Linked DNA regions of Ovis aries. Each later gene encodes a partner of the first gene's protein in a complex. Links are inferred from orthologs where the notes say so. Each region holds a gene or a part of one and is shown in the gene's direction. Other genes may lie near its edges. The genes, in order: SYNRG and AFTPH.

Evidence for each region.
Region 2: SYNRG (region 1) and AFTPH share a complex: the UniProt entries of both Homo sapiens proteins name them as parts of the aftiphilin/p200/gamma-synergin complex. The link is inferred for Ovis aries from reciprocal best matches to the Homo sapiens genes SYNRG and AFTPH.

The regions. Positions count from the first base shown.
Region 1 is NC_056064.1:13,531,701-13,535,521, reverse strand, and holds part of SYNRG (synergin gamma), read left to right. Parts: intron 1-598; coding exon 599-652; intron 653-1,144; coding exon 1,145-1,241; intron 1,242-3,821. UniProt on the Homo sapiens protein: Plays a role in endocytosis and/or membrane trafficking at the trans-Golgi network (TGN). May act by linking the adapter protein complex AP-1 to other proteins. Component of clathrin-coated vesicles.
Region 2 is NC_056056.1:43,761,528-43,765,348, reverse strand, and holds part of AFTPH (aftiphilin), read left to right. Parts: intron 1-2,843; 5' UTR 2,844-2,875; coding exon 2,876-3,821. UniProt on the Homo sapiens protein: Component of clathrin-coated vesicles.

The DNA.
Region 1 (3,821 bases):
CACATGCCTCATGGCCAAAAAACCAAGACATTAAAAAACAGAAAGAAAAAATCAGAAGCAGTATTGTAGCTACTTTAAAAATTGGCCCACATTAAAGAAAAAAGTCTTTAAGGAAAAAAGAGAGAGGACAGATGTGCTGGATCCCCTCACGGTTAATGTTCGTCCCACGCTGCTGCCCCCTCCAGCCAACACTCTTAGCATCCTCCTCCCCGTCCTGTCAGACGTGCGCTCACTCGCACACACAGCTTCCTGACTGTGGAGCAGGAAGCTGTGGTTTGATCCTGGCTCTCGTGCTAGACACCTACATGGTGCGTACCTTTAAAGAAGCTTCCACTGTTTATGGAACAAATAAGGCAACGTTTGCGAAGGGAATCCACTAAAAACCATTTCCCTCCAATTCACAAGTCATGTGTTCAGAAGTTATAGTTATCAGGAGCTATCAATAAAAGTCATCATTAGTGGGTTCAGAAGATCAACTGCGCTTGGATTAGTGAGTTTCATAGACATGAAAGTAAGTCTTCAGGACTCTGAACTGAAGGAAGTCCCAGGTGGGATCCCCGGCTTGCCCGCCTGACCCAGCTCTTTCGGTGACTTTCAGGAGAATGAGCGGTATGCGTACGAGTGGCAGCGGTGTCTGGGGAGCGCTCTGGAGGTGAGTCTCTCACTCGGCTGCGTTCACACACCTGCCCATGCCTCTTGCGTCATCTCGCCTTCTTGATTGCTTTGGAGGGACTCGGGGCGAGCTCTGCCTCGATGGCCTTGCACTGGGAGGACCTGGGTGGAAAGTCTCACGTCTTCAGTGAGGCTTCTTCCCCACCGACTGCGGCAGACCCCGCTCACTTGGCTTAGAGTGCCCTCTCCTGTCACTGAGTTTAATGCGTAACAAAATGGTATCGTTATCTCTGCCCAAGTTAAAATAATATTTAAGCTGGAGAACCTTTGTCTTTCCACTTCCAAAAAAGCGGAGGCTTGGTTCATCAATGTCAAAATTCTCAGATTTATTTCAACACAGTCATCTACATACATCAATCAGTCATGCATTTTCACACCTTCCAGCTTTCCGTTGGGTTTTCTACTAATAGTAAACTGCTTTGTAATGACTTTTCCTGATTATGTAAGGTGATGTGATTTCATTTCTTTATAGGTCATTAAGAAGGCCAATGATACCTTAAATGGAATCAGTAGTAGCTCTGTATGCACAGAAGTGATTCAGTCAGTTCAAGGGATGGAATACTTATTAGGTATGTGCTTTCATATTATACTTCTTCAAAATCATGACGCTTTGGAGGCTGTTCAGTTGTCCCTATGTCAAGTAGTTTAATCTAGATCTCTCTAAGCCTCATAGGACTTTACTAAGTAGCTTCTGCTTTTATAGATAAGACACTTAAATCCTACCCAGAAACAACTATTTGACTTAAGGTCTCTGTGGCCAGGTTTCTCAGTCCTTGTTATACACAATGTAAAATCACATGTTACTGGTTTATCAAAGACTCTGAACTAGATGAGGCATTAACATTAAATCATTGGTTTAAAAAAGAAAATTAAGTTATTGGGTCCCCAGTCGGTTCTTACCATGCTCTGTTGAATTCTGCCTTTCTACTCCTTACCAACCTCCCAGATTCCTTAACTTCCTGGCCACCTTCAGCTCTCACACATCCCAGTCTAACGTGAAATCTCAGTCCCTGTCCTTCTCTGTGGTCCTGTCCTGCTCAGGGTTTGCCTGTAGCCAGAACCACAGGCACTGGTCTCGCCCTAATCTTCTTCAGACCTTTACTCAGATGTCACCTTCTAAGTGAAGTCTTTTCGCCCCTCTCACTCAAAGCCGTGTTCCCTCTCCCCACCCTGTCACTTGCTGTCCGTCTCCCTGCTTGATTTTCTCCCTAGCCCTAGCCCTCGTAAATATTTTACTTTCTGTTATTTGTGTCTATTATCTGTCTGTCTCCACTGAAATCCGCCTCCAAGAAGGGAGAGATTTGGGTGTGATGTGCTTGCGGCTGGGTTTCCAGCGCCTCGCCTAGCGCTGGGCGCACAGTGGTCACTTGCGTGTACTCTCTGGGTGAGAGGCGCTGAGCGCTGTGAGCTCTCCTTGTTCCTGCCTCCTGCTCTTGTTCCTCTTTCCTGCTCAGACAGGCATAATTCTGCCTCATAAACAAATGCTCACCAGCTCATGGGGTGCCTATCTTTCCCTCTAGTAGCTTCCTAGTATGAAAGATTGACTCAGAAGCCCCCTCACTTGGCTCAGAGTGGGCAGCAATTCCTAATCTTCCCCTGGGGAAGGAAGGACAAGCCGCGGTGCTGTATGTAGGCTGAGCGTGTACCACTGAAGACCCCGTGGCATTCTTCCAGGAATGGAACAAGCTGGGGGAGGGGTTGGGTTATGCCTGGCAGCTATCCTTAGTCTTTGGAGACCTTGGCATCTCTCATCCTTGCTGGAAGAATTCAGCCGTAATTCAGAGACCACAGGGAAAGAACCATTCTGTGTCCTGTTAAGTGTATAAAAGACAACATGAAGCCACAGACTTTGTAAATCTTGGGCATTCAGAGGAGTGAAATATTTCTTAATTATAGGCAGATCTGGGAGATACTGGGGCTTCCCTGATAGCTGAGTTAGTAAAGAATTGGCCTGCAATGCAGGAGACTCCAGTTTGATTCCTGGGTGAGGAAGATCTCCTGGAGAAGGGGCAGGTTACCCACTCCCGGAATCTTGGGCTTCCCTTGTGGCTCAGCTGGTAAAAAAATCCACCTGTAACGTGGGAGACCTGGGTTTGATCCTTAGGTTGGGAAGATTCCCCTGGAGAAGGGAATGGCTACCCACTCCAGTATTCTGGCCTGGAGAATTCCACAGATTGTAAAGTCCATGGGGTTACAAAGAACTGGACACAACTGAGCGACTTTCACTTCACTGGGAGACATTGAAGTTTTGATTCCAGACCACTGCAGTAAAGCTTATAGCTCAATGAAGCGAGTTGCATGAATATTTTGGTTTCCCAGTTCATAGGAAAGTTATGTTTACCTTATTACTGTAGTCCATTAAGTGTGCAAAATGTCTGAGAAAAACTTAAATTAAAAATATTGATTAAAAAAGGCTAGCCATCATCTATCTGAGTCTTTAGCAAGTCATAATCTTGCTACTGGTGGAGGCTCTTGCCTTGATGTTGATGGCTGCTGGCAGATCAGGGTGGTAGTTGCTGAAGGTTGGAGTGGCTGTGGCCATTTCTTAAAATAAGACAATGAAGTTTGTTTTACCGATGGACTCTTTATCGATGAACAATTTCTCTATATAGTATGCAATGCTGTTTGATAGCATTTTACCCACAGGAGAACTTTTTTTAAGAATTGGTGTCAATCTTCTTGAAATCTGCGCTGCTTTATCAGCTAAGTTTATGTAATATTCTAAGTTCTTTGCTGTCATTTTAACAGTCATCACCAGGAGTGGATTCCACCCCAAGAAACCAGTTTCTTTGCTCATTGTTAAAGATTTATCATGAGATTGTAGCAAATTAGTCACATCTTAAGGGTCTACTTCCACTTCTAATTCCCTTGCTATTCCCATCGTGTCTATGGTTACTTCCTCCACTGAAGTCTTGAACCCCTCAAAGTCAACCATGAGGGTTGGAATCAACTTCTTCCAAATTCCTCTTGTTGATATTGTGACCTCTTCCTATGAATCCTAGATGTTCTTAATGACATCTAGAATGGTGAATCCTTTCCAGGAGGTTTGCAATTTACTTCCCCCAGGTCTACCAGAGGAATTACCATCTGCGGCAGCTATAGCCCCTTAAAATATATTTCCTAAAGACTAAGACTTGAAAATCGAAATT
Region 2 (3,821 bases), on another chromosome or scaffold:
TATTAAATTTAAAATTTAAGCCTTTATGACAGCAAAATAATGAAGAAAACTACTAATGGAAAATCACTTTGACCCCTTAAAAATTAACTTGGGAAGACAGTTTGGCTTATAACATTAATTACACACTTAGCATGTGACCCAGGCTTTGCACTCCTGAGTATTCATCTTAAAGAAGTGAGAGCTCATGTTCACATAACAGTCTGTACACAGATGTTCATAGCAGCTTTACTTGTAGTTGTAAACATACTGAAAATAATCTAGATGTCTTACATGGAGTAAACAGAAAAACAAACTTGATGACATCTATATAGTGGAATCAGTTCAGTTCAGTTGCTCAGTTGCGTCCAACTCTGAGACCCCATGAATTGCAGCACGCCAGGCCTTCCTGTCCATCACCAACTCCCGGAGTTCACTCAGACTCATGTCCATCGAGTCAGTGATGCCATCCAACCATCTCATCCTCTGTCATCCCCTTCTCCTCCTGCCCCCAATCCCTCCCAGCATCAGTCTTTTCCAGTGAGTCAACTCTTCACATGAGGTGGCCAGAGTACTAGAGTTTCAGCTTTAGCATCATTCCTTCCAAAGAAATCCCAGGGCCCATCTCCTTCAGAGTGGACTGGTTGGATCTCCTTGCAGTCCAAGGGACTCTCAAGAGTCTTCTCCAACACCACAGTTCAAAAGCATCATTTCTTTGTCGCTCAGCTTTCTTCACAGTCCAACTCTCACATCCATACATGACCACTGGAAAAACCATAGCCTTGACTAGACGGACCTTTGTTGGCAAAGTAATGTCTCTGCTTTTGAATATGCTATCTAGCTTGGTCATAACTTTCCTTTCAAGGAGTAAGCGTCTTTTAATTTCATGGCTGCAGTCACCATCTGCAGTGATTTTGGAGCCCCAAAAAATAAAGTCTGACACTGTTTCCACTGTTTTCCCATCTATTTCCCATGAAGTGATGGGACCAGATGCCATGATCTTCGTTTTCTGAATGTTGAGCTTTAAGCCAAGCTTTTCACTCTCTTCTTTCACTTTCATCAAGAGGCTTTTGAGTTCCTCTTCTCTTTCTGCCATAAGGGTGGTGTCATCTGCATATCTGAGGTTATTGATATTTCTCCCAGCAATCTTGATTCCAGCTTGTGCTTCTTCCAGCCCAGCATTCCTCATGATGTACTCTGCATAGAAGTTAAATAGTGGAATACTACTTAGCAATAAAAAGGAATGAACTGTGAGTACATACAATAACATAGATGGATCTTGAGAGCATTAAGCTGAGTGAAAAAGCCAGCTTCACAGGGTTACATATTACATAATTCCATTTAGATAACACTCTTGACATAGCAAAATTATAATGATGGAGAATAGATTAGTGGTTTCCAACAGTTCGGGTTTATGGAAGGGCATGACTATTTAGGGATTGCACAAAGGACTTTATACTGATATTATTGAACTATTTTTGCAACAGTTCTAACCCCAATTATAGTGACAATGAAATCTAATCTGCACGTATGATCGGTTTCATAAAACTGTGCAGACACCCTAAGAAAGGAAAAGTGATGAAATCTAACCAAGCTGTGTAGCTGATTTAGTAGGTTACATGGATGTCTGTTTCAGGGTTTGGTCGTGTGCCATTCTTGTTCACTGTGTTCTTACTGAGGGAAACTGGGTGAGAGCATGCAGGAGAACTCTCTGTACTGTGTTTACAGCTTCTTGTCAACCTAAGCAATTTCAAAATGGAAAGTTACAAAAAATTAAACTATGGTATATTCAGGTAATGGAATACCATTCAGTAGTTTAAGAAAATAAGTTTTCAAGCCATGAAAAGACATGGAGGAAGAACCTTCAATACATATTAGTAGGTGGAAGAAGCCAATCATACAGTATATACAGGCTGCATACTCTGTAATTCTAATTGCATAACATTCTAGAAAAAGCAGAACTATGGAGACAGTAAGAAAATCCGTGCTTGCCAGGGTAGGGGAGAGGGACAGATGAATAGAGTTAGGTGGAACGCAGGATTTGGGGGACAGTGAAACTACCCTGTGTCATACTGTAATGGTGGGTGCATGTCTTTATGCAGTTGTCCAAACTCAGAATGCTAGCACCAAGAATGAACCCTAATAAGAACTATGGACTTTGGGTAATGATGTGTCAGTGTAGGTTCATCAGTAGTAACAAACACAGCACTTCGGTAGATGTTCATAACAGAGGAGACTATGCAAATTAATGCAGGTAGTATCCGTATGGGAAGTTTCTATATCTTCTGCTCAATTCTATTGTGAACCTAAAGCTTCTCTGAAAAAATAAAACCAGAAAAAGTTAACTTGAGTCAGAAAGAAACATTGAAAAGCAAATTGAAGAAAATATATGCAGCCATTATTAAAGACAGCATTTTCATTTTATTTATAAAGAACTCCTACAAATCCACAAGGCAAGTCCTGAGTCCCCAGTGAACTAGAAGGAGAGTCTAAGAGAACAAGCAAGTGCTTGTTACAAAAGATGTACTTTTGTAAGTGTTTATTTGAAATTTTCTGGAATCCTCAGATTCAGTAATGTGCTATCAATGCCCTTGGAAACATACACTGTAAAAGGTGTTTTGTTTTGGTTTCTTTTGCCATTATATTATAGCTGTGTAATCTTACCTAAGATAAAAATAATTGTGTTTTTTTAGGTTTTTAAAATTTTTTATTTAATTTTTAATTGAAGGATAATTGCTTTACAGAAAAATAGTTTAAAAAGCAGAGCACTGTAAATTTACACTGTTTTGAAGTTTCTTTGAGAGAATTCTGAATGACTTTGTTATATGTAATCTGTTCCCTAAAAAAAAATCTTTTTTTTTCCCCAGGTGTAAATTAAGTATTTGAAAGCAATTGAACGATGGAGCCAGACATCATTCGAATGTACTCTTCATCCCCACCACCACTAGACAATGGAGCTGAGGATGATGATGACGATGAATTTGGGGAATTTGGTGGGTTTTCTGAAGTTAGCCCTTCTGGTGTAGGGTTTGTTGATTTTGATACACCAGATTACACTCGTCCCAAGGAAGAGTTTGTACCTTCAAACCATTTTATGCCAATTCATGATTTCTCAGAAAATGTAGATAGCCTTACAAGCTTTAAGTCCATTAAAAATAGTAACGATAAGGACATCACTGCTGAACTTTCTTCTCCTGTGAAAGGACAGTCTGATGTTTTACTTTCTACCACCAGCAAAGAAATAATTTCATCTAAAACTTTAGATACTTCCATTGATGGCATAGAAAGTCCACGAGATTTAAATAAAGAAGTTGAGCAGAGACAGAATGTTGGAACACCTGAAAGTTTCTCTCCAGGAGATTTTAGAACTGATCTGAATGTTGTTCATCAGAACAAGCAGTTAGAGAGCTGCAATGGTGAAAAGCCTCCTTGTCTGGAGATTCTAACAAATGGGTTTGCAGTGTTGGAAACTGTAAATCCTCAGGGAACAGATGATCTGGACGCTGTAGCTGATTCAAAAGGACGAAAGCCTGTTAGCACTCATAGTACTGAGTATAATTTAGACTATGCACCTAGTCCCGCTGAGGAATTTGCAGATTTTGCCACATTTTCCAGAAAAGAAAGGATACAACTAGAAGAAATAGGATGTGCAGTTTTAAATGATGAAGCACTAACCATTCAGGAAAACAATAAAATTAATAGAGTCAATGAACTGAATTCTGTAAAAGAAGTTTCTTTGGATAGAAGCTTTGATGATAAAGGAGACACTGCTAGAAAGGATCAGGTTTGTGTTTCAGAAATAAGCATAGCGAGTGACAGGGGTTTCAGCAGGGGAAAGCAAGGCC